Linked DNA regions of Stegostoma tigrinum. The protein of the gene in region 1 interacts with the protein of each later gene in a biochemical or structural test. Links are inferred from orthologs where the notes say so. Each region holds a gene or a part of one and is shown on either strand. Other genes may lie near its edges. The genes, in order: mis18bp1, oip5 and mis18a.

The links.
Region 2: the proteins of mis18bp1 (region 1) and oip5 form a complex in vitro, tested with the Homo sapiens proteins (2 studies listed by BioGRID). The link is inferred for Stegostoma tigrinum from reciprocal best matches to the Homo sapiens genes MIS18BP1 and OIP5.
Region 3: the proteins of mis18bp1 (region 1) and mis18a form a complex in vitro, tested with the Homo sapiens proteins (2 studies listed by BioGRID). The link is inferred for Stegostoma tigrinum from reciprocal best matches to the Homo sapiens genes MIS18BP1 and MIS18A.

What each region holds. Positions count from the first base shown.
Region 1 is NC_081363.1:32,857,630-32,865,436, forward strand, and holds the start of mis18bp1 (mis18-binding protein 1), read right to left. Parts: upstream 3,073-7,807; 5' UTR 3,037-3,072; intron 1-3,036. Other genes in the region: uncharacterized protein im:7136021, read left to right, coding at 7,244-7,807. UniProt on the Homo sapiens protein: Required for recruitment of CENPA to centromeres and normal chromosome segregation during mitosis.
Region 2 is NC_081363.1:84,907,809-84,914,961, reverse strand, and holds the start of oip5 (protein Mis18-beta), read left to right. Parts: upstream 1-4,051; 5' UTR 4,052-4,123; intron 4,124-6,808; coding exon 6,809-6,944; intron 6,945-7,153. UniProt on the Homo sapiens protein: Required for recruitment of CENPA to centromeres and normal chromosome segregation during mitosis.
Region 3 is NC_081365.1:24,796,216-24,804,231, forward strand, and holds the start of mis18a (protein Mis18-alpha), read right to left. Parts: upstream 3,091-8,016; 5' UTR 3,049-3,090; coding exon 2,865-3,048; intron 1,609-2,864; coding exon 1,545-1,608; intron 1-1,544. UniProt on the Homo sapiens protein: Required for recruitment of CENPA to centromeres and normal chromosome segregation during mitosis.

The DNA.
Region 1 (7,807 bases):
AAAATGGAAATGAGGAGACATTTCTTCAGTCAGAGATTGGTGGGCTTGTGGAATTCATTGCCACGGAGTGCAACGGAGGCCGGGATGTAAGATGCCTTCAAGGCAGAGATCGATAAATTCTTGATCTCACAAGGAATCAAGGGCTACGGGGAGAGTGCAGGGAAGTGGCCCATCAGCCACGATTTAAATGGCAGAGTAGACTCGATGGGTCGAATGGCCTTACTTCCACTCCTATGCCTTATGGTCTTATTAAACCAATTGTGAAAGTTTTTGTGGCTGCTCAAAACACTTTTGGCAACTGATTCTGGATGATCCAAGATGGAGGTTAGGAAACATTGTGGCTGTACCAGCTGCTCCTTTTTTGAGGTATTTTCAGTGTTGGAGCTAATTTCCTTGAATTCGAAGAGCAGTAATTACTGTTTTATAAGCTGTTGCATTGTTTTGGAGCTTTGGAGAAAAAAAATCAAAACACCAGCACTTCAAAAAGGAAAGAAGGGAGACAATGGTAGTGACCACATGAGAAGTGATTCAAACAGAGAAAGAAACCTACACTGCGGTCTGAACCAGCAGTAACCTGCACAGCTAAATTTGCTGTTTGGTTTCAAGTATCGCTGGACATCGGAATTTGTCCTAAGACAAATAAACGAGCAGCAAAATTCACAGCTGACCTTGGATAACCTGTGAGGGGATGCAGTTAAGATGGCTTTAAAGCGTAACCTCATTGAGTTTTTTAAAAATCTATAATAATGAGAAGAGTGGGTACTTTTTTGATTTATATATATTTCATTGAGATCTGTCTCAATTAAACTTTATAAATATAAAAACGTAAGTACTAAGCTAGCCTGGAGCAGTGTTTTCAGAGCAGTAAGACTGTGCTTTTTTTGGGTCTAAAGATTGTTAAATTGCAAAGATGGCCTTCAGTGGACTGATGTGCTCTTTCCTATTGGATGTGGTAAATTAGGGAGAGTTACTGATGATTAGGTCTGAAGGAAGTATGTTTAGTTGTCAATCCTATCACATCGCACAAAGTGGCAGTTAGATGCACTGAGGGATTTACAGGAGCTAGGGAGTGTGATGGATGGCAGTTGTAGGGAGGGAGATAAACCAAAGATAGTCAGGTGGATGAGATATCTCCAGAAAAGGGAGGAGAGGGAAGTAGCTCGAACAGAAAATTCCTGTAGCTATACCCATCTCAAACAAATATGCTGTTTCGGAAACATAAGGGATGATGGGCTTACAGGGGAATATAAGCACTGACAGCTGGATTTGGGTACTGAGACTGGTTCTGACGTAATGAGGGTTACATCAGGTTCCCAGCAATCGATTAAGATAGGGGACTCTAGTCAGAGGCACAGACAGATGTTACTGCAGTTGACAGTTAGTCATCGGAAGGGTATGTTGCTCCCCTAGACCCAGGATCAAGGATATCTCAGAGTGGTTTCAAATTGTACCAAAAGGGGAGAGGGACCAGCAGGAGGTCACATCGGAACCAACACCACAAGAAGAGAAAAGGACAAGACTTTGAGGAGAGAATATAGGAGGTTTGGTGGAAAATTTAAAAAGGTCTGAGGATAGTGATATCTGGACTAGTCCTGGTGTCATGAGCTAGGGAGGGTAGGAATAGGAGCATAGAACAGATGATAGATGATTTGGATTCACATTTTTGGATCATTAGAGCCTCTTCTGGGGTAGAAGAGACCTGAACAAGAAGGATGGATTGCACCTGAATTGGAAGGGGCCAAATATACTGGTGGGCAAGCAGGAACAAAATAGAGAAAGATGAAGGACTGATAAATTAACTGTTTATTTCAATGCAGGAGACCCAACAGGTAAGGCAGATGAACTCAGGGCATGTTTGGGAACACGGACTGGGATATTATAACAAGTACAGTGATGTGGCTTAGAGATGGACTGGACTGCTAGCTTAAATTTTCCAGGGTATAGGTGTTATAGGAAGGATAGAAAGGGGGCAAGAGGATGGGGAGTTGTGGTGTTTCTAATTAGGGACAACATTATGGCTGTACTTAGGGAGGTTATTTGGGTGGAACTGGGAAAGAAGAAAGGGATGATCACCTAATTGGAATTGTACTATAGACATCCCTATAGTCAGGGAGAAATTGAGAAACAAATTTGTAAGGAGATCTCAGTTATCTGTAAGAATAATAGGGTGGTCATGGTAGGGGATTTTAACTTTGCAAACACAGACTGAGACTGCCATAGTGTTAAGGGCTTCAAAGGATAGGAATTTGTTAAGTGTGTACAAGAAAATTTTCTTACTCAGTACATGGATGTACCTACTAGAGAAGGTGCACAACGTAACCTACTCTTGGGAAATAAAGCAAGACAAGAGACTGAAGTGTCAGTGGGAGAGTACTTTGTGGTCAGTGACCATAGTTTTCAGTTTTAAAATAATGATGGAAAAGAATGGATTGAATCTAAAAGTTAACATTCTAAATTGGGGGAAGACCAATTTTGATAGTATCAGGCAAGAGCTTTCAAAAGTTCACAGGTAAAGGGATGACTGGAAGGTGTAGGGATAGCTGGATAACTAGAGAAATTTAGGTTTTGGTTAAAAATAAGAAGGAAGCATATGTCAGGTATAGACACCAGAGATCGAGTGAATCACTAAAAGATTATAAGGGCAATAGGAGTATACTTATGAGGGGAATCAGGAGGGAAAAACAGGAACATGAAATAGCTTTGGTAAATAGGGTTAAGAAAAATCCAAAGGATTCTACAAATATATTCTCCCTGGCCATATCACCGAAACGAAGTCGGGTCACGGTCAGGCAAGTAACTCTGAGTCGCCTACATCTCGAGGAAAAGGGAATTAATTAAACTTTTCTGGCTTCAGGTCCAATTTTATTGGCGTACGGTAGCCAGCAGACCCAATACTAGCTGAGATCTGGGTCTAAACAAATGGCTTCCCCCATCCACCAGCCGTTTCCAAGTCCCCACGAACCCGACTGTCCAGCCGATCTTCCAACCGGTGGCCTCGTCAAGCCCTGGTTCTAGAAACAAAATCCGTTTACTCACCCGCACGCCCGTGCCTCTCGCAACAACCATTTCAAACCGAAAATCGTTAGGAATTTTCGAATCCAAAGCATCGGTACCTGATTGGACATTGGCTCTTCGGCCTGCCGAATCAGCATGTGTAACGTCAAGAATGGAACATTGCGCGTGTCCGGATGGCGCGCCGTTCCAGCGGTAAGACACTTGCGCACGCGCAGAGTCGCTCATGTGACTAGAGGAATTGTTAGAGTGTGTTGAGAGAAAAATCTTCATGTGCTATCGTAATATAGCACTTGTCTTTTTAACGGTTTGGCGGGGTATCGATTTATGAATTTGAGTTTAGAGTACAGAAATAGGGAAATTTCCGGGTAAGCCTAGTGTTCCATATAACAAGGTGTGGAGCTGGATGAAAACAGCAGGCCAAGCGGCATCAGAGGAGCTCAAAAGCTGACGTTTCGGGACTAGACCTTTCTTAAGAAAACAAGTTTTTCAGATTCTCCAGCATCAGCAGTTCCTATTATCTGTAGGCCTAGTGACCCGTTCTGATAAGAATTTTTTTGGGGCGGTGAGTAAGATTTGTGGAGGAGGTGTATCAGAATGAAATCAGAGGAAAGGACTTTATTCCCTGTGGACAGACTGCCGAAGTTGTGATTATTCACGTTACGCAGTGGGATACTTAGTAGATGTGTTCAAATATCTTAAGGAAGGAGAAAAGGTATGTTTTAAAGTAGCAGGTTATATAACTTGGAATACACTTTGTAAGTGTGGTGATAGATTCAGTAGTAATTCAAAAACCAAAATATATGCTTGGAAATTGTGTGGGTTGAGGTTGGAGAAGAGGTGCTGTGTGGGGGGAAAAGATTGGAAAGAGAAATTGAGGAGTTATGATATAGAGTAGAGGATTGGGGCTATGGTATTTGGTTGAGGAGCGGAGGCTTGGGGACTGCTTTGTGGACTACTTACGCTCAGTTTGTAACAAATGACTGCACCTCCCAGTCGTGAACCATTTCAATTCCCCCTCCTACTTCTTGGATGACATGTCCATCCTGGGCCTCCTACAGTGCCACAGTGATGTCACCCAAAAGTTGCAGGAACAGCATCTCATTTTTCACTCTGGACCCCTGCAGCCCAATGGTATCAATGTGGACTTCAGAATCTCCCCTCCCCTGACCACATCCCAAAACCAGCACAGCTTGTCCCTGCCTCCCTAACCTGTCCTTCCTTCACCTATCCTCCCCTCCCACCTCAAGCCACAGCCCCATCTCTTACCCACCAGCCTCATTCTGTCTCCTTGGACTGACCTATCCCCTCTCTCTAAATCCCCACCTACACTCACCTTTACTGGCTCCAACCCTGTCAGTCTCTTCTCCACCTATCTACTCCTTTATCCATCTTCTATCCACCTTCCCCTCTCTCCCTATTTAGTTCAGAATCCCCTCCCCCATTTCTGAAGAAGGGTCTGGACCCAAAAAAGCTGCTTTCCTGCTCCTCTGATCTGCTTGGCCTGCTTTTTTTATCCACCTCTGCACCTTGTGACATCAATATTTTGTTGAGCTGGCTCAGATCTAGTTGTTCAAATGGAGGTTTAATTCAAAGTTTCTCTAAAATTATGTTAAATATTCCTTTTAAAATAGATACCATTATTTTAGTTTCATGAATGCTTAAAGTTTATAACTTGCAAAATTATTGAAAATGATTCTTCATTACCTCTAGATTTGACTATTGCAGCATGCTTCTGGCTCGTCTCCAACATTATACCATCCATCTGAGGATATCAAAATTCTGTTGTCTGTGTCTCATCTTGAAGCAAGTCCCGTTCCTTTATTGTTGGGAGAAAGTATTGGGTGTGGCACAAGTTAACCCCACACCTATTTGGGGAGAATTAATAAAACCTTAAGATGAGGTAAGCAACTACATTCAAAAGAAGTACATCTGGGTATTGTCCAGTTCTGGTCACCTCATTACAGAAAAGATGTGGAAGCATTGGGAAAGGTGCAGAGGAGATTTACTATGTTGTTGCCAGGAATGGAGGGAAGATCTTCCAAGGAAAGGTTCAGAGCGCTAGGGCTTTTCTCTTTAGATCGACGAAGGATGAGAGTTGACTTCTTAGAGGTGTACAAAATGATCAGAGGTATAGATAGAGTAGACAGCCAGCACTTTTTCCTAGGGTGGAGGTAGCTTTTAAGAGGAGACATAGTTTTAAAGTGAGTGGAGGTAGATATAGGGGAGACGTCAGAGGTAGGTTCTTTATTCTGAGAGTGGTAGGGGCGTGGAATGCATTGCCGGAGAGTGTAGTGGAATTGGCCTCATTAGGGGCATTTAAGGCATTTCAACAGCTATTAGATAAGCATATGGTTGAGAGTATCAGGTAGGGATGGAGGTTAGATATATCTTAGGATTAGAGTAGAAGTTCGGCACAACATTGTGAGCTGAAGGGCCTGTACTGTGCTGTGCTGTTCTATGTTCTATGTAGTGAATTTAGTTAGCCTGATGAGGTGAGATTCATTTTATAACTCATTTGGCTTTTTTTCATTTAAAAATAACTGTCAGGTTAAAAATGATTAAAACACAAAGCAAGAGCAAAATGCTGCTGACATAGGATATTGCCAGACATGGTTATGGGCCAAGGGAGTAGTACAGAAGATGATGGGAGTAGATTAAGACCAGAAACTACCATTTTTGATATATGGGAAACAAGTTATTTGAACTACACTGTTTTGGAATTTAAGTAATGTACTATTTCTGTGACTTAAAATGTTTTAAAAAGAAAAAGATTTTTAGCTGATTGGCAACATACTACCTCCGAATATTCTCCAGGATAAGTTTTCTCAATGTTGACTTAATAAACAATTGTTAAACCTGTCCCTGAAACTCCTAAGATTATTTGATAACATAATCTACTCCAGTACTTATTTCTGACTTTGCTGATCTACACCATCATCTTGTTAAATAACATGATAATATTTAAATGCTTATCCTTATTATCAAAGGCCTGTCTTCTGCCTAGCTGTGTAATTTCCACCAGCTGTCTGGGCCAATATGATATCTACATACCTCTTACTTTGGTCTTTTGTGTATCCTCAGTTGCTCTGGCATTCCTGTCAACATCTCTTTACCTTTTTTGTCCTTCAAGATACTCCTTAAGTTTGGTCAGTGAGTAAATTTTAATTGTCTTGACCTATTATCTAATTAGGTGGTGCAGGTCATACTTTATGATGCTGCTATGAAACACCTTAGTGTCTCATTACATTTAATGGCAATATATTAATGAGAATGAGTTGTGGAAATCATAGGCATCAGATTTTTTTTCATAGCCTATAAAAGATATATTAAAAGTTGAATATAGTCTTATTGTGGAATAAATAAGTTTGTGGATATTGTGTATTTGGAAGTAAAACTGTATGTATATTCATTATGGTGGAAATGATTCATGAGTTGGTGTTATGTATACTTGTGTCAGTACTTAAAATTATTTGTTATATGGCACCTTTCACTATCTCAGTGTCCCAAAGAACTTCACTTTTGATTTAGAATCAGGAACAATTGCAAATGTAGTAAACAGTTCACAGCAAGGTCAAAAAGAGCAGTGAAATCAATAATCAAGTTATTATAGTGGTATTGGTTGAGAGATAAATATTTGTCAGAGAGAACGTGTGTCTTGTCATAGGTCCGTGAGATCTCTTTCATGAACTTATTCAATTGGACTATTTAAGATCTCACCTAAAAGCCAACTGATCTTACAGTGTAGCCATTTGTCTATTTACCAAGTGTAACCAAATAGTGTTTAATTTTTATGGATTTCAATTATGGATTAGGTTGTGAAGTTAGATGGTAGCAAAACAAAGGAAATCAGAGTTAAAGGTAGCCCAAGATAATACGAAGTGATGTGAATTGGTCTGAAATTTTGAGATTTTGCTGTGCAGTTACAGCAAGCAGAAGTGTTTTTACTGGGAAGGAGATGAAAATGTTTAAGTATACGTCCATTGCTACTTGTGTACTTCTGTCATCCTTAGACAACAAAGAAAATTTGTATATTAGTAAAATAAAAATGTTAGAATTCACTGAATTAATTTTTTTCTGGATCTAAATCTTCATTGGCTCTTCAAATGTATTGTAAATATAAGTTTTTTTTTTGATATTTTCTTGTTTTCTTGTAGATGCTAGTATGGAAAATATTGGTACAGAAGCAATTAATTCGATACATTAAGGAAGGATAGGATTTGCGACTAATATGGAAAAACCTCATTGTTTAAACCTACCTCAGGATATATTGTTGGAAGTATTTAGATATCTAACACCGGTAGGAAAAGATAACGTTCGTGCAACGTGCAAGTACTTCCAACAGTTAATTGATCATCCTACTTTATGGACGGATAGTATAATTGTCCTAAAAAGTTTACAATGCTGTAATTCAAACTTTTGGAGAACGTTAAGAAAAAGGCGAATAAGATCTGTGGTGATTAAGGAAGCAACACAGAAGCAACAACAGAGGATGGTGAATTTGCTACCTGACCTGATAGCTGTTACTATTGATGTAAAAAAGAATTTGGAGAGTCTAAGCACTTTTAAATCACTTACAAATTTACAGAAGTTACAGCTGAGTAATAAATTACAAGTGCTCGATCAAAAACTGCTAAGAGAAATGGCTTTGTTCAAACAACTGACTCATTTGGTCATATGCACTTCAGTGTTTATCCAGGACAGTTCGTTGTGCCATCTTGCAGAATTAACAAAATTACAAGCACTGACACTTCACGCCGGACAGAAAAGCCCTTCCTTGACATCACTTCATTAT
Region 2 (7,153 bases), about 52 Mb from region 1:
AAATCCACAGAATTACATGCATTTGTGTTAGTATTTGATTCATGGCTATTTCTTTTGCAGAAATCCAGACCTTTAAGAAGTTCTGCTCCAATTTCTGACCAGGTTTTCAAGTCTGACCGGATTTGTTTGTCGCTTTTACCTGAACTGCTCTCTATTTCCCATCCTGTTATTCATCAGGTCTAGCAAAACAGGAGTTCACAGTTACAGTTCCTTCATTAGTAACTGTCTTCCTCTGGCTTATTCCATGTGGATTACAACCGAAATTCTACCCTCTCTCTTTCAGATCTACCTATTGTTACAGATAACTCCCAGGCATTCAGCATTGGTCAAGTAGGGACATAATGGCAATGTTACTAAAGTAACATTGGGAACAAGGATTCAAATTCCAACACACTATCTGATGGAATTAATATTTAATTAATTAGAAAGCCTGGAACTGAAAGCTACTTTCATATTCACCATTACAAAGACGAGCTTTCAATTGCTCTAAAAAACCATGAAGTAACTTAGGGATGGAAATCTGCCTTCTAGCCCTGTTCTGCTACAAAGTGGTCAACCCTAGGTCAGAACCCCTAAGTACTCTGATCATTTTTAATTTAACTTAATTGTGCTTTTAAAAAGAGTGTTGATAGTCAAATATTCCTGCAGATGTAAATTAAGTGCCTGTCTGGACAGAGAGAGGGAGAAGCCCATGGAAATTCACACCTACTGATGTAAAGGGAACTTCAAACAACATCCCTTCAAAGGGGGGGGGGAGGGATTAGAGCCAACTGATCTCTTGAGACTAGAAAGATAATAAGGGATTGATGACCAAACTGCACACTCATTTTGTGCTTTTCTCTTTGAAGAACAAACATGGAGATGATTTATAAGAGATAATGGGAACTGCGGATGCTGGAGAATTCAAGAAAACAAAGTGTGGGGCTGGATGAACACAGCAGGCCAAGCAGCATCTTAGGAGCACAATTTATAAATAATTTATAATTTATAAAACCAGTTTCAACTCCACTGGAATGTATTAGTGGAACAAAACTCTTGTATGTACCAGCCTCAGTTCAAGCTTTAGTGTGCTGTGATAGGCATACACAAAGAACTAGCCCCTATTTACCACTGTGTTACCTTCTCTCACTCCAAGTGTTACAAAGCATTGAACAAGGAAACAGGATAACAAAATGAATCTCGCTCACCCTCAATACTGGAATCCAGTCAAGGTCAAAAGGAATCAGAACTACAGAGTCAACAAAATGTGAGGCTGGATGAACACAGCAGGCCAAGCAGCATCTCAGGAGCACAAAAGCTGACTTTTCGGGCCTAGACCCTTCATCAGAGTGTCAATCGACGTGTAAAACACTCTCTTCACTGTCCTGAGCTCCAATTCCTTCCAGGCGAAGCAGCATTTCACTTGCACTTCTTTCAATCCAGTCTATTCCAATCATTGCTCACAGTGCAGTTTCCTATACAATGGCTAGACCAAATGCAGACTAGATGACCGTTTTGCAGAATACTCTAATTTTGTCCACAGGAATGACCTTCCAGCGCATTCCATTTCAACAAACCACCTTTCTTTCATGCTAACATTTCTGTCCTTGGTCTGCTGCAATTTTCCAAAGAAGCAGAATGCAAACTCAAGGAAAAACATCTTATTTTCTACATAGGCAATCTACAGCCCCTAGGTCTTGATATTGAATGTAATAACTTCAGAAACTGACTGTTTTATGTCCGTACTCTGTTTTTCTTACGTTATCTTCCACCACCGCCAATTCTTGATTACTTTGCAATTAGTAACAAGGGCCAAAGCTCTCCTTTTCACATCTTAATTTACACCCTTTTAACCTATCTTTTCTTTCTCTGTTATTAACAACTTTTTTTTGTCTTTTGCACTACATTATCAGCCCCCTTGGTGTCTTTCACCTCTGTCAAAAGTGTACAATAAAACCTATTTTTCAACACCTTTCAGTTCAGACAAACAGCTATACCAAACTTTAAACTTTAACTCTGTTTCTCTCTTCACAAATGCTGCCAGACCTGCTGAGTTTCTCCAGCACTTTTGTGTTTGTTGCAGAACAAAGAATTGTGAAATCCACTGCTCAAACAGCAATGTCAGTGATACCAGTAGCCTCGAATGCAGTGCTGGCAATGTTCATCTACCTATTCATCAGAAACAGTTTAGAGACTGACCCATATGTCTCTTTTTAAAAAGAAATAATATTCTCACCTCTTAATTTTAAAGTGTTTGCAAATTCTTCTTTCGTTTGGTACTTAATAAACTCACTCTATGTTAAGTCAAGAAAGCCTGATTAAATTGGACTCTTTGAAATCACGAGTTTAATCAGGTCTGGGAGAAGGATTTCTGAAGAAGGGTCCCAACCCGAAACATCAGCTTTCTTGTTCCTCTGATACTGCCTTGTCGGCTGTGTTCCTCCAGCTCCACACTGTGTTATCTCAGACTCCAGCATCAGCAGTTCCTACCATCTCCATAAGGTAAAGGATCTGTTTTTAAATTAATATTTCTGTAATCAACTTGAATAAGTTGAGTGAAGACGTGGAGCCAATTTTGTCTCTGCTCATCCGACAACTTCATGATTTGGGGTATTCTGTCTGAAACCATGCTAACAAATTAGCAGCATCACCAGGGAACTGGGTGTAACAAATTGGGGAACCTTGCCAGGGTTTTGTCATATCAGTGTGATTCCAGATCCACAGCAATGTGCCTGACACTCTGAAAGGCCCAGCAAGTCACTTCAAGGACAACTAGGGATGGACAATAAAAGTGTGGGTTTGGGAATGAAGGGAGAATTGTAAGGGAGAAAACCAGGGTACACAAAAAGGTTACAATTATGTTGCTAGGTGCAGTTTCTAGGCCACCAGTGGGAAAGATGTGGAGGAACAAATCTGCAGGGAAATTATAGACAAATGGTAACATTCTAGAATAGTTTTAATGCAGACTTCAATGACCTAAATATAGACTGGGACACTCAAGTGTACCTGGACTGTGTTCAAGAGAGCTTCCAAAGGGAGTAGATGTCCAGTCTGACAAGAAAGGAAGCACTGTTGGACCTGGCTCTTGAAAATGAGGATAAGTCAAGTGGATCAAGTGTCAGTGAGGGGACGTTTAGGAAACAGTGACCATTGTATTATTAGATGGTGGAAAATGATCTGCAACAGTGAGATCAGTCAATGGCAGAGAGGACACCTCAATGAGGCAAGAACAGAGTTGAGCAGGATTGACTGGAACCAGAGATTGGTAGAAAAAGTAGTAACTGAACAATAGGATACCCTCAAAGAGGAGATGGTTCAGGTACAGTCAAGATACATCCTCTCAAATAGAGAAGGTGGAACAAACAAATCCAGAGCTCCTGGATTAAAAAGGAGAAAGGAATTAAGATTAAAAAAGATGTGCCTATGCCAAGTCTCAGTTAAATTGAGAACCAAGAGGAATATCAAAGGTTTGGAGGGAAGGTCAAAAAGCAAATGAGAGAAGCAAAGAGGATTTCTAAGAAAAGACTGACAGCCAGCATAAGGAAATGTCACAGTCTTCCGCGGCCATGTAAATAGTAAAAGGCTGATAAAAGGTGGAGTAGCGCCAATTAGGTATCAAGAATGTATTAAATGAACACCATGCACCTGTCTTTACTAATGATAGAAATGCTCCCTAAGGTCATAGTGACAGGGAACTCAGTCACTAGGGCCGATCAAAATTGAAACTGCAGAAGTGTTGGTACTTAAAAATGAACAAGGCGCCCAGGACTGGTTGAGATGCCCCCAAGGATTTTGAAGGAAGTGAGAATTGACATTGCAGGGGACCTAGGCACAAATCTTTCAGTATGCTCCACACTTGAGAGGTGTCAGAGTCTGACAAACAATTGCAAACTTCACGACAGCCTCATTCAAGAGAGGATAATCCCAGCGACTGCAGACCAACCAGTTTGACATCCAGCGATGGACAACCATTTGGAATACAACTAATTCATCTCCCCCCCCCCACAAAACCTCCTCTACTCTGTTCCGTCCCCCTCCTTTCTCCACGCCCCACCCCGTTTCCGCGAAGACGGCGTACTGCGCATGTACGCTGGTTTGAACGCAGTGCGGCGCGCGTTTGCTAACGGTCGTGTTTGAGGAGGAGGTGAGGGGGTTTGGTTGGGTCTGGGGCATATGGTGGCTGGGGTGTTGTTCGCTTCTTCCTCCTCCTTCCCTCCCCCGAGAGAAAAATAAAATAACCCCCCAAGGGCAGCGGCAGCAATAACAACATGTCTCACTGTTGTTCCCCTGGCGGAGGAACTGGCTGGAAGAGGGCATGGTGCCTTTGGGTTTTGAGATGGGAGTGGGTTACTGAGCGGGTTTGTTGTTACAGAGAGGCGCTGCAGTGCCTAGACTAGAGGGGAAGATTTGGTTCGTGTCAGCTCTCAGCTTCAGCCCACAGCCGAAAAAAGCTTATTTCTGGCACCTTCGATGTGACCAGATGTCTCATGAAGTTACCAAAACTGGGTCTCAATGAAAAGGTAGCAGGACAGATGACCAAAACATGGTCAAAGAGGCTTATGAGGAACCAGAGCCGTACCCTCTCCTTTAATAAACTCCTGTTGCAATTTTCTCAGTAAACTATGTGCCTCTGGATTGCCAGCTTATTGCCTCTGCATATCATATCCCTTTTACACTTCATCTGTCACTTTAAACAAGCCTTTTCTTTTACTACGTTTGATCTTGTCTCAGTGTAAGATTTTGCTCCATGGAGCAGTTTCCCAATGTTATAAATAGCACTTTTTCTCCACTTGGCCACTAATGTGCTAGCTAGTCGTTTCTTTAAACTGCATGTTCAATGGTTGTGGTTTCAATACCAAGGGCCTCTATATCGAATGCTAAAGTGTCAAAGTGTAAGAATGTTTATAACCTATCTTCATGTGCCAATGCTAGACACAAGCCAAGAGCTAATCACATTCTCTGGTGCAACATTTCAGTGTCTGCTAATTGACAGCATGTCCATCTGTGTAGGTCTTGTATAAAAGCAAATTGTTGGGTTTTGAAAATAAAAAGAGTGCTGCAGCAACATTCTGCACGAGAGTCACACTGGACTTATAATGTTAACACTGTTTCTCTCTCTCTGTCCTAGATGCTGCCAGACCTGCTGAGTTTTTCCAGCTCTTTCTGTACCTATTGTGTGTAGGACCTGGAGTCTAGGCATTGTTAGTGACTGAACAGCCCAGTGGCAATTGAGATAGATAGACAGAAGATTTGTTTTCCAAATGCTTGCTGGGCAGTGGAGGTACTGTGGCTCAATTGCTGGCATTTCTGCCACTGAACTGCATTCAAGTCCCACTCTAGATTTGTTGGAAGGAGTGTTCGTAACACTGGACAGGTTCTTATTCAGCTTATAAATCCTTCCAACATTCAACACCATCCCTCAGTGAAAAGAAGGAAGGAAAGAAAGAAAAAAAAGTGTGGCGATGAACACAGTGGTTGGGTAAGCAATATACTAGTGAATAGGCAATACAATAGTGGTCTTTCTGGAAGTACCCTAAAAAGCAGTTGAGGCGTAAAATACTTGGAAAAAACTGTTGAGGATGGGTTTTCTTAAAAAAATACTTTTAGTTTTCATCTGCATGCTCTATGATAGCTCTTTAAGCTTCCTCTAACTTGTTCCCACAACAACTTGAAAATGATTCTCCTTTTACCCGTTAAGACAGAAAGGAAACTGAGTTTACAGCAAATTGTCACTTTATTCCATTGGTAGGATTTGATAGTCAGGATTTTAAACATTTCATTCGTGGTATGTGGATCTTGCACTTATTGCCTATCTGAGAAGTGGTGAGTTGCCGCCTTGAGCCACTACAGTCCATATGCTGACCTACAATGCCATTAAGGAGGGAATTTCCAGCATTTTGACACAGTGACACTGAAGAAATGGCAATATATTTCCAAGTCAGTGTGGACAGTGGCTTGGAAGGGAAGTTGCAGGTGGTGGTGTTTATAGTATCCATTGCCCATGTCCTTCTAAATGATAGTGATCGTGAAAGGTTCCATCCAAGGAGCTTTGGTGAATCTCTGCAATGCATCGTGTTGATAGTTGACATCCCTACTAAAGAGCATTGCAGGGAGTGAATGTTTGTGGATGTGGTGTTATTCAAATAGGGCTGCTTTTTCCTAGATGGTGTCACATTTCTTGCATGTTGTTGGAGCCTTACCTGTCCAGGTAAGTGGGAGGTATGTCATCACACTCCTGACTTGTACCTGGTAGATCGTGGACAGGCTCTGGGGAGTCAAGAGGCGGGATACTCACCACAGGATTTTTAGCCTCTTACCTGCTCTTGTAGCCATTGTGTTTAATGGCTACTCCAGTTCCAGGGGTGGCACAGTGGTTCACACTGCTGCCTGACAGCACCAGGGACCCAGGTTCTGTTCTAGCCTTTGGTGTCTGTCTGTGTGGAGTTTGCACATTCTCCCCGTGTCTGCATGGTTTCCTCCGTGTGCTCCGGTTTCACACAGCCCAAATGTGTGCAGGTTAGGTGGATTGGCCATCCTAAATTGCCCATAGTGTTCAGGGATGTGTAGCGTTGGTGGGTTATAGGGGGATGGGTCTGGGTGGGATGCACAGAGGTTCAGTGTGGACTTGTTGGGCCGAAAGGCCTGTTTCCACACTGTAGGGATTCTATGGATTCCTGAGGTTTTCTTCATAACATGTTGAAATATACTTTAATTGTGTTTACAGTCCGAATATTTCATCAATATAGTTCGGTTTGCACATCCCAATTGCGATGGTTGATTGATTTGATCAGTTGTTTTCTCTCTCTTTCTTCCTGTGTGCCCTGTTTAGATGGACAGTGTTGTGATTGGGTCCTTGAAGGTGAAGGACTGTGTGATCTTCCAGTGCAAGAGATGTCACACTGTGTTGGGAGATTCTCTGCAATCCTGCGGTAGCAGCTTACCATTGAACATGCTGTTATGTTTGAGTAAGTGTTAGGTTAGCTATGTATAAATGGTGATAGATTTTTAATCAGGAGGAGCATCAAGGCAAGAACGTGGAGTTAAGGATTATCAGATCAGGCATGATCTCGTTGAATGGCAGAGCAGATATAAAGGGCTGAATGGCCTACTTCTGTAAATCTTGTAGAAAAATACAGAAGCTTGACCACATGCGCCAACAGGTTCAAGAACAGCA
Region 3 (8,016 bases), on another chromosome or scaffold:
TGGTGGTCCCAACACTGATCCCTGTGGAACACTACTGGTCACAGTTCTCCATTTTGAGAAACTTCCTTCCACTACAACTGTCCGTCTCCTGTCGCCCAGCCAGTTCTCTATCCATCTAGCTAGTATACCCTGGATCCCATGCGGCTTTACTTTCTCCAGCCTATCATGGGGAACCTTACCAAACACCTTACTGAAGTCCACGTACATGACATCTACAGCCCTTCCCTCATCTATCAACGGAGCAGGCTCAAAGGGTTGAATGACCTAATTCTACTTCTCTATCTTATGGTTTTAGTGCTGGAAAGGTAACATTATTCATTGGCGCCCGGTTTTGTTTAGACTACCCATTCTTTTGGAAGATTTTGTAGATTGTTTGTCATTTTTACAGGACACGAGATTAACATGTTACTATGTTTACAGAATCCCAGACATTGTATTCATCCAATTCTGGCAACTGACATTTTATTCATCAAGTCCATCCACAATGAATAGGATATTGCATCCTTTACAGTATTTCCAATAGTTTGCTGAATTGTATTTCTATTCCATTGTCAAAGAAGTGACCATATGTCTGCTATCAATGGACATACACTAAAATTGCTAGCTATATCGCCGGCATCCTCTAAACAGAAGGAATGAACACATTTTTTAAAATCCAAAAGGAAATCAACCTCCAACCTAGCCAAATCCAAAGACTTTAATGCTGGGTCAATAATCCCTGTGCCAGTTGAAAAAAGTAAAAAAAGTCTGAGCTTCATAGAAATTTGAAGGATGAAAATACCTGGAGTTACTGCAAACATATGTTTAGTGCACAAACGCACTGGAATGAAATGGAAGAATTTTCCTTTATGGAAAAAGGTTAAATGAAGAAAATTAGAACACTGCTCAGTAAAATAGATTCTTTGTAACAGGGAACACATGCTATTTTGTTCAGTTAACCTATAAGACCTATTTTCTGAACATTCTGCTTTAATGATGCCACAAGGAAATGTCACATTGGTTGCAGTTGAAAAGTCACTTGCAACATCGATCTGACTCTATAAATGGAATATATTTGTCCAAATTTTGCAGTAAAAGGCAAACAAACAGTGCCACAATTCACTAAGCAAACAACTGTCCACAGATATTTTAGTGGATTTTCATGCAGTGACTCGAAGCAATTAAAAATCTATTTTGGTGTGGCACTCTGCATAGTGGATCTGAGACTAGCTGAAGGAGCATGTGTCCAGGAAACTGAAGAGTTTCAACCAAGGCACACAGAACTAGAAGGCCCAAATTTGAACTTTTTATTAAACAAATGTTAAATCATGTGGAGAAGAGAAAAGAAAGATGGAATTAAGAGACAAAGATAAAGCCAAAAGAAAACAATTTTTCCAAAAATAATTTCAAACAATTAAAAACTAAAGGACTATGAGCTTACAGAAGCATAGTTTAATTGCTATAAAAGATTTGATAGAATGAATGGACTTTGTTGCATCCACCACATTTAAAAAAGACTTTCCTTCACTTGTACTCAAAAATCTGCACTAAGTCAACATACTTACCAACCAGACTCATCTGCAGTGTCTACCTTCTGTTCTTTGTCTACTTTGATATTGTTAGTAACACCTAGAGAAGAGCAACAGGTTATCAGCTTACGAGTCTAAAATTCAGGTACAATGACCAGCTGCCTACAAAAGGCCATGTTCTTTGTGCATTCAACCACCTAAAATATTCAATATCAAAATAAAAGTGGATCTATCTTTAAAAGACAATACAATATCATGTATGACACTTTAGAACCTCACCTTAAAAACATATCTGAGGAAGTAACCTTCTTATCCCTGTTACTCTATGATCCTGACAAGAGTCAAGCAAAGTTATAACTTAAATATACAAAATAAATATCAAACTTCAATTAGATCTGGCACACAAGCCATTCTACTATGGCTTATCCAGCAGCCACAAAGGTTTGAAGTGATTTCAACAAAATTCACAGTGCTTACATGAATGGTGTTCCCGCACACAAAGTTGTATGCTTAATTGGCTTTTTTTTAAAATAACCATTAGTCAACTTGGAAATACAGTGCTCATTAAAGTATGTAATCACCACTTGTGAGTATGACTTTTCCCCATCCCTGCTTCACCATTAGACTTTCCAACATAAGGAAAACCCACACAGTCATATTAGCAGAGACTTAAGGCAAATTTTAGTATCTTTATCTATTCAATTACATTTATTTATATATTTTAATACAAAATTAACTATGAGGAGAGTAAAATATATTGAGACTAATGAATGAGAAAATTGCTGCAGATATTGGAATCTTTACTGGCTCCATCCCCGCCCCTTTAACTTGTCTGTCTCCTCTCCACCTATCATCTCCTCTAACCATCTTCGATCCGCCTCCCCCTCTATCCCTATTTGTTTCCGAACCCTCTCGTCCTCCCTTTTTTCTGACGAAGAGTCTGTGCTCCTGATATGCTGCTTGGCCTGCTGTGTTCATCCAGCTCCACACTTTGTTATCTTGGATTCTCCAGCATCTGCAGTTCCCATTATCTCTGTTTCAATTTCTTGTTCAGATTTGTTTTATTAAAGTCTAAATTTCAAACATCAAAAAGTGTCATTTAACCACCTTGTGCATCAATTTTAAAAACTTAAATGGTTCCCCCCCACCCCAAATTTCCAGCATTAATGCAGGAATTCTCTCAAGCACTCTCTGTGGACTGGGCATCCTAAACCAATTCTTCCGCCCCCAATCCCCACAACACACTGGGACACATACATCTCCCACCTCCCCCCCTTCAAGCCATCCCCACAAAACACCGGAACACACCCCCCTCCCATCCCCCCGGGCTAGGGGACAACTCCACCCCCCACTCACTGCTCAGATAGATCATGTCCTCTTTCGGGTTTGCTCCGACCCAGGCCAGCGAATCTCCCACCGGTAGCCGACACTGTGAGCAGAGGAAGACGGCCGGCAAATCCGAGTCACCGCTGATGAAAGTGCCCGAATCCTTGTTGTCCGTTTCATCGTCCGTTACCAAATCCACCGTCACTCCCGCCATCTTTCAAATCACTGAGCAGGCGCAGAGAGCGTCTGCAGCCGGCTACACGCCTGCGTACGAAGCCACCCTCACCGCAATGTGCGCGCGTGCGCAGCCCTGTCCGGCGTGTCTCGTCCCTGTTTGTGGAAAGTCGCAGCGCAGTTCTCGTGAGTCCACCCCCATCGCACCTGGCCAGGGATGGGCAATACTATGATAAAACACAATGTGAGCAGACCAAAATAGTTTTTAAGAAGGGTCACTGGACCTGAAATGCTAACTCTGTGTTCTCTCCACACATACTGACAGACTTCATAAAATCCCAACAGTGGGGAGAGAAGACTTTCAGCCCATCGAGTCCACAATGACTCTCCATAGAGCATCTGAGCCAGACCCAGACTAATTTACCATGGCTAATCCACCTAGCGTACACACCCTGGACACTGCAACCACTGCAATAAGATGGCCGATTCACCTAACGGGCATAGCTTTAGACTATAAGAGGAAACCAGAACCACAAACAGAAACTCACACAGATGCAGGGAGAATAGGGAATCTAATAAAAAAAACATGCAAACTCCACACAGGCAGTCATCCAAAGCTGGAATCAAACCCAAGCCCCTGGCATTGTGAGGCAGCAAAGATAATCACTGAGGCACCATGCTATCCCACCACGGTGACCTGTTGAGCTTCTCCAGCATTTTCTGTTTTCCTTTCAGATTTGCAGTATCCTCACTTTGTTGTTTTATATTGGCTGTATTAGTTGTTTTCCTGGGCATCATAAAACCAAACAGTTCTGCTATAATGCATGTTCTGGCAATGCGAATTGTTTATAATGCGACTGACAAATCAGGGAACACTATTTCTAAAACGTGAACTTGTGGTGGCTATAATGCAATTCCATTGGTGTACAGATGACCTTATTGGTGATGTTCAGGAAAATATTTTTAGAAAATATTGTAGGGGAAAAAAAATCAGATCTCAGGATTCTCCTCATTCTGGATAATGCGCCAAGCCATCCTCCCGCCATTGGTGAGGTTTCTGAAAACATCAACGTTCTATTTCTACCACCAAACACAACCTCTCTCCTTCAACCCAGGGACCAGGGTGCAATAGCAGCTTTTAAGCTTATTATTTCAGACGAACATTTCAGTGGCTGATTGCAGCCACTGCGGTGGATGAGGACAGTGTTCCTCAATGTTGGAAGAGCTTTAACATCGAGAATGCAGTTGACATTATCGCGGATGCCTGAGGTGATGTCAGCAAGGACTGTTTGCATGCAGTTTGGTGGAAGTTTCTTAGATTTTTTTCAAGATTTTAAAGGCTTTGATGCGTTAGAGGAGCTCTCTAGAATCAAAGAACGTTATGTTGAATTTGCAAAGCACGTTGGATTTGAAGAAGTGGAGAGTGAGATGTTGAAGAGCTGCTTGAGTCCCACAGTGAAGACTCTCTACAGCTGATCTACAACAACTTGTCGCTGAGGGGGAAATGGAAGCTGGGGATGAAGAAGGTGAAGTCCATGATGCAGCACCACGAAAGCTTTCCACTTCTGTTTTTTCTTCTATCCTGAGGGAAATTGAGAAGCAGTTGCACCTGTTAAAGGACAATGAATACATTGCTGAATGCAGCAGGGTAGCAGTTCAAGGAATAAGACCTTACTTGGCAGCATATGAAGAGTTTCTTCATGAAAGAAGAAAAAGGGCAAAGCAGCAAATACTGGATATCTTATTCCCCCCAAGAAACAGTCAGAAGACAATGAACCACATCCATCCACTTCTGGATTAATTATTTTTTGCCCAAACCCTGCAACCACAGCTGCACCTGAAGATCATGATGATTACCCTCAGCGTCTGCATTAACAACACAGCAACCTCAAAACCTACTCCCCCATCAAGTCATCTTGACATTTTTTAAAGGGAAGGTGTTAAGTTTACTTTTATTTTTTCATTTAAACTGTGCCATCCTTTGTGAAAGGCTTTTGAGTGATTTTCAAATGATTTTGAGTGATAATTTTGGTAGTTTGCCTCAACTCCACTTTTCTCATAGATCCTGTTATTTCTATAGCACGATTTTCTATAATGTGACCATGCAGGGGAACACAGACTACTATGTTATAGCAGAGCTGACAATTTGTAGGGTGTTTTGTGTCAGACTGAATGCTTGTCAGCTATCTATCTTGAGAATGCTCTCATCTAGGGCAAAGACGAGGGACACCCTGGCCTGCCCACACATCACAGTCCTCCATTCGGACTTCCCAGTTTAGTTAAGTCATATAACGAATGCACAGAGCTACAGTTGGCCTGGTTTCAGGATGTTCCAGAGAAGTGACTGTTAAGATCAGTCCACTCTGGGTTTTTATTGTCAGCGTTTATTAGCCGCCACCTTTCGAAAGTATCCACCAGGCAGAGGAGATAGTCACACATTGTTGTAAGTGCCACATCGTGTTCATGCCTGTGGGCCCGCATGCTGCAGGTCCAAGGCAGAAACCTCCTCTGTGTTCCTCAGAAGGTGAGCCTGGGGCCATGAAGGACCTAGTTTCTGTGTGTTACCAAGGCGATGCATGGCTGAGGTATTGCCAATGGAGAAGCTGAGTGCTGATGGATTTACATTGCTGTTATCCTAGACAAATACAGCTGCCTCAGCACTGACTATAAAAGAGGTTTCTCCCTGGTGTCCAGCAGGGTGAAGATGCAACCCTTGAAGATTTTCATTAATAACAGAAATATGTCCTCATATCATCATCAACTGTACTGCCTATCTATATCAAGGATGTGAAGGTGCCAGTGTTGGACTGGGGTGGACAAAGTCACCAGGTTATAGTCCTTCGGAAGGCAGCCCCTTAACTGCACCTGATGAAGGGGAGATGCTCCAAAAGCATGTGTGATTTCAAATAAATCTGTTGAACTATAACCTGGTGTCATGTGACTTCTGACTTTGCCCATATCAAAATCAACAATTCTGTGACAGCGCAGGCGAGATGTGGAGGTATTGTAAATGGACTATCTAATCCAGAGACACAGGTAATTTTCTGGTGAACCAAGTTTGAGTCCCACCACAACAAATGGTGAAATTTGATGTCGATGAAATCCAGAATTAAAAGATAATCATTAAACAATTGTCAAGAAAATCCCTATCTAGTTTATTCATGTCACAGAATCTCTGCAGTGCAGAAGGAGGTCATTCAGCCTATTGAATCTATAATGACCCTCCAAAGAACATCTCACCAAGACCAAGTCCCAACCCTATCCCCACATTTACCATGGCTAATCCACCTAACCTGGATGCCCCTAATTCTGAGGAAGGGTCGTTGGACTCAAAACATTAGCTTTGATTTCTGTCCCTAGGTGCTGCCAGACCTGCTGAGCTTTTCTAGCAATTTCTGTTTTTGTTCCTAAAGATGAGGTGTTACCCCAATCCAGGGGAGATGATTGTCTAATGGTATTATCATTGGGCTGTTAATCCCAAGACCCAGGCAGTTGGTGGAGTTTGAATTCAATAAAAAAAACTGGAATTAAGAGTCTAAAGGTGACCGTGAATCCATTATGGAATAATGCATTTGGTTCACTAACGTTCTTTAGGGAAGGAAACTGCCATCCTTACCCAGTCTAGACTACATGTGACTCCAGACCCATACCCACAGCATTGTGATTGACTCTTAAATACCCTCTTGGCAATTATGGATGGGCAATGTATCCAATTATGGATGGGAAATAAATAGCAACCTAGCCAGGGATGCCCTCATCCTGTGAATGAATTAAAAGAAAACCTGGTGAAAACACAACACAGGATGACTTGTACAAACAGCTAAAACTTTAAGTGATAAACAGAGCTAAGCAATTCCGTTTCCAACAAATCATACTGAAGTTCAGTAGTTCTGTAGTCCACATCTAGTCATGAGTGTTGGTAGACAATTAAACAGCTCAAACAAAGAGGAAAAGACTTTAGAAGTATCTCCATTCTGGATGATTGGAGTTCCCAACACAACATTGCAACAATTTTCATCCAGAAGTGCCAAGTGGATGCTCCATTTTGGTCTCCTGCACAGATCCCAACATCAGAGATGCCCGTCTTCAGCCAATGCAATTCACTCTAAATGATCGCAAGGCATTGCACTGGATACTTCAAAGGCAATAATAATTCAGCAATAATCCTGAAGACTTGTGCTGCATCCCTAGCCAAGGTACCCTAGTACAGCCGCTTCGGTGACATCTGCCTAAGAATGTGGAAAATTGCCTATACTGTAAAGTTGGCCTAATCCAATCTAGCCAATTACTATTCCTTCAATTTACACTTGATAATCAGTTAAAGGAAAGGATCATCAACAATACAATCAAGTAATACTTCCTTAGCAATAACCAGCTAACTGACACTCAGTTTGTACCATTAGAAACACTCAATTCCTGACCTCTTGACAGAGTCAAACGTCTAACCATTACTCCCTGAGATTAAACGGCATTACTGGATTCCCTCACTATCAACATCCTGCATATTACCTTTGACCAAAAACCAAACTGAACTAGCCATATAGATCCTGTCCTATAAGAGCTGCTCAGAGACTTGACTTCCAAAAAGCTGTTACCATATAAAAGGCAGATGTCTGGAATATGATGGAATACTCCACACCTGCCTGAATTGCAGCTCCGACCACACTGAAGAAGCTTGACACCATCCAGGACAAAGCAGCCCGCTTGATTGGTACCACGTCCACAAACATTCAGTCACTCCATCAACCACGCTCATAGCAGCAGTGTGTACCATGTACAAGGTGCACTCAGAAATTCACCAAGGTCCTTCAGACAGCACATAACAACTCCATGTGTTATGTTGGAGTCATAACATCAACTGTTATGACTCCGTCTAGAAAGACATGGGCAGCAGCTATATGGGAAACCTCCTCTCCAACCCACTTATCATCCTGACTTAGAAACTCTTTGCCATTCCTTCAGTGTTACTGGGTCAGAATCCTAGAACTCCTTCCCCAAAGGTCAACCA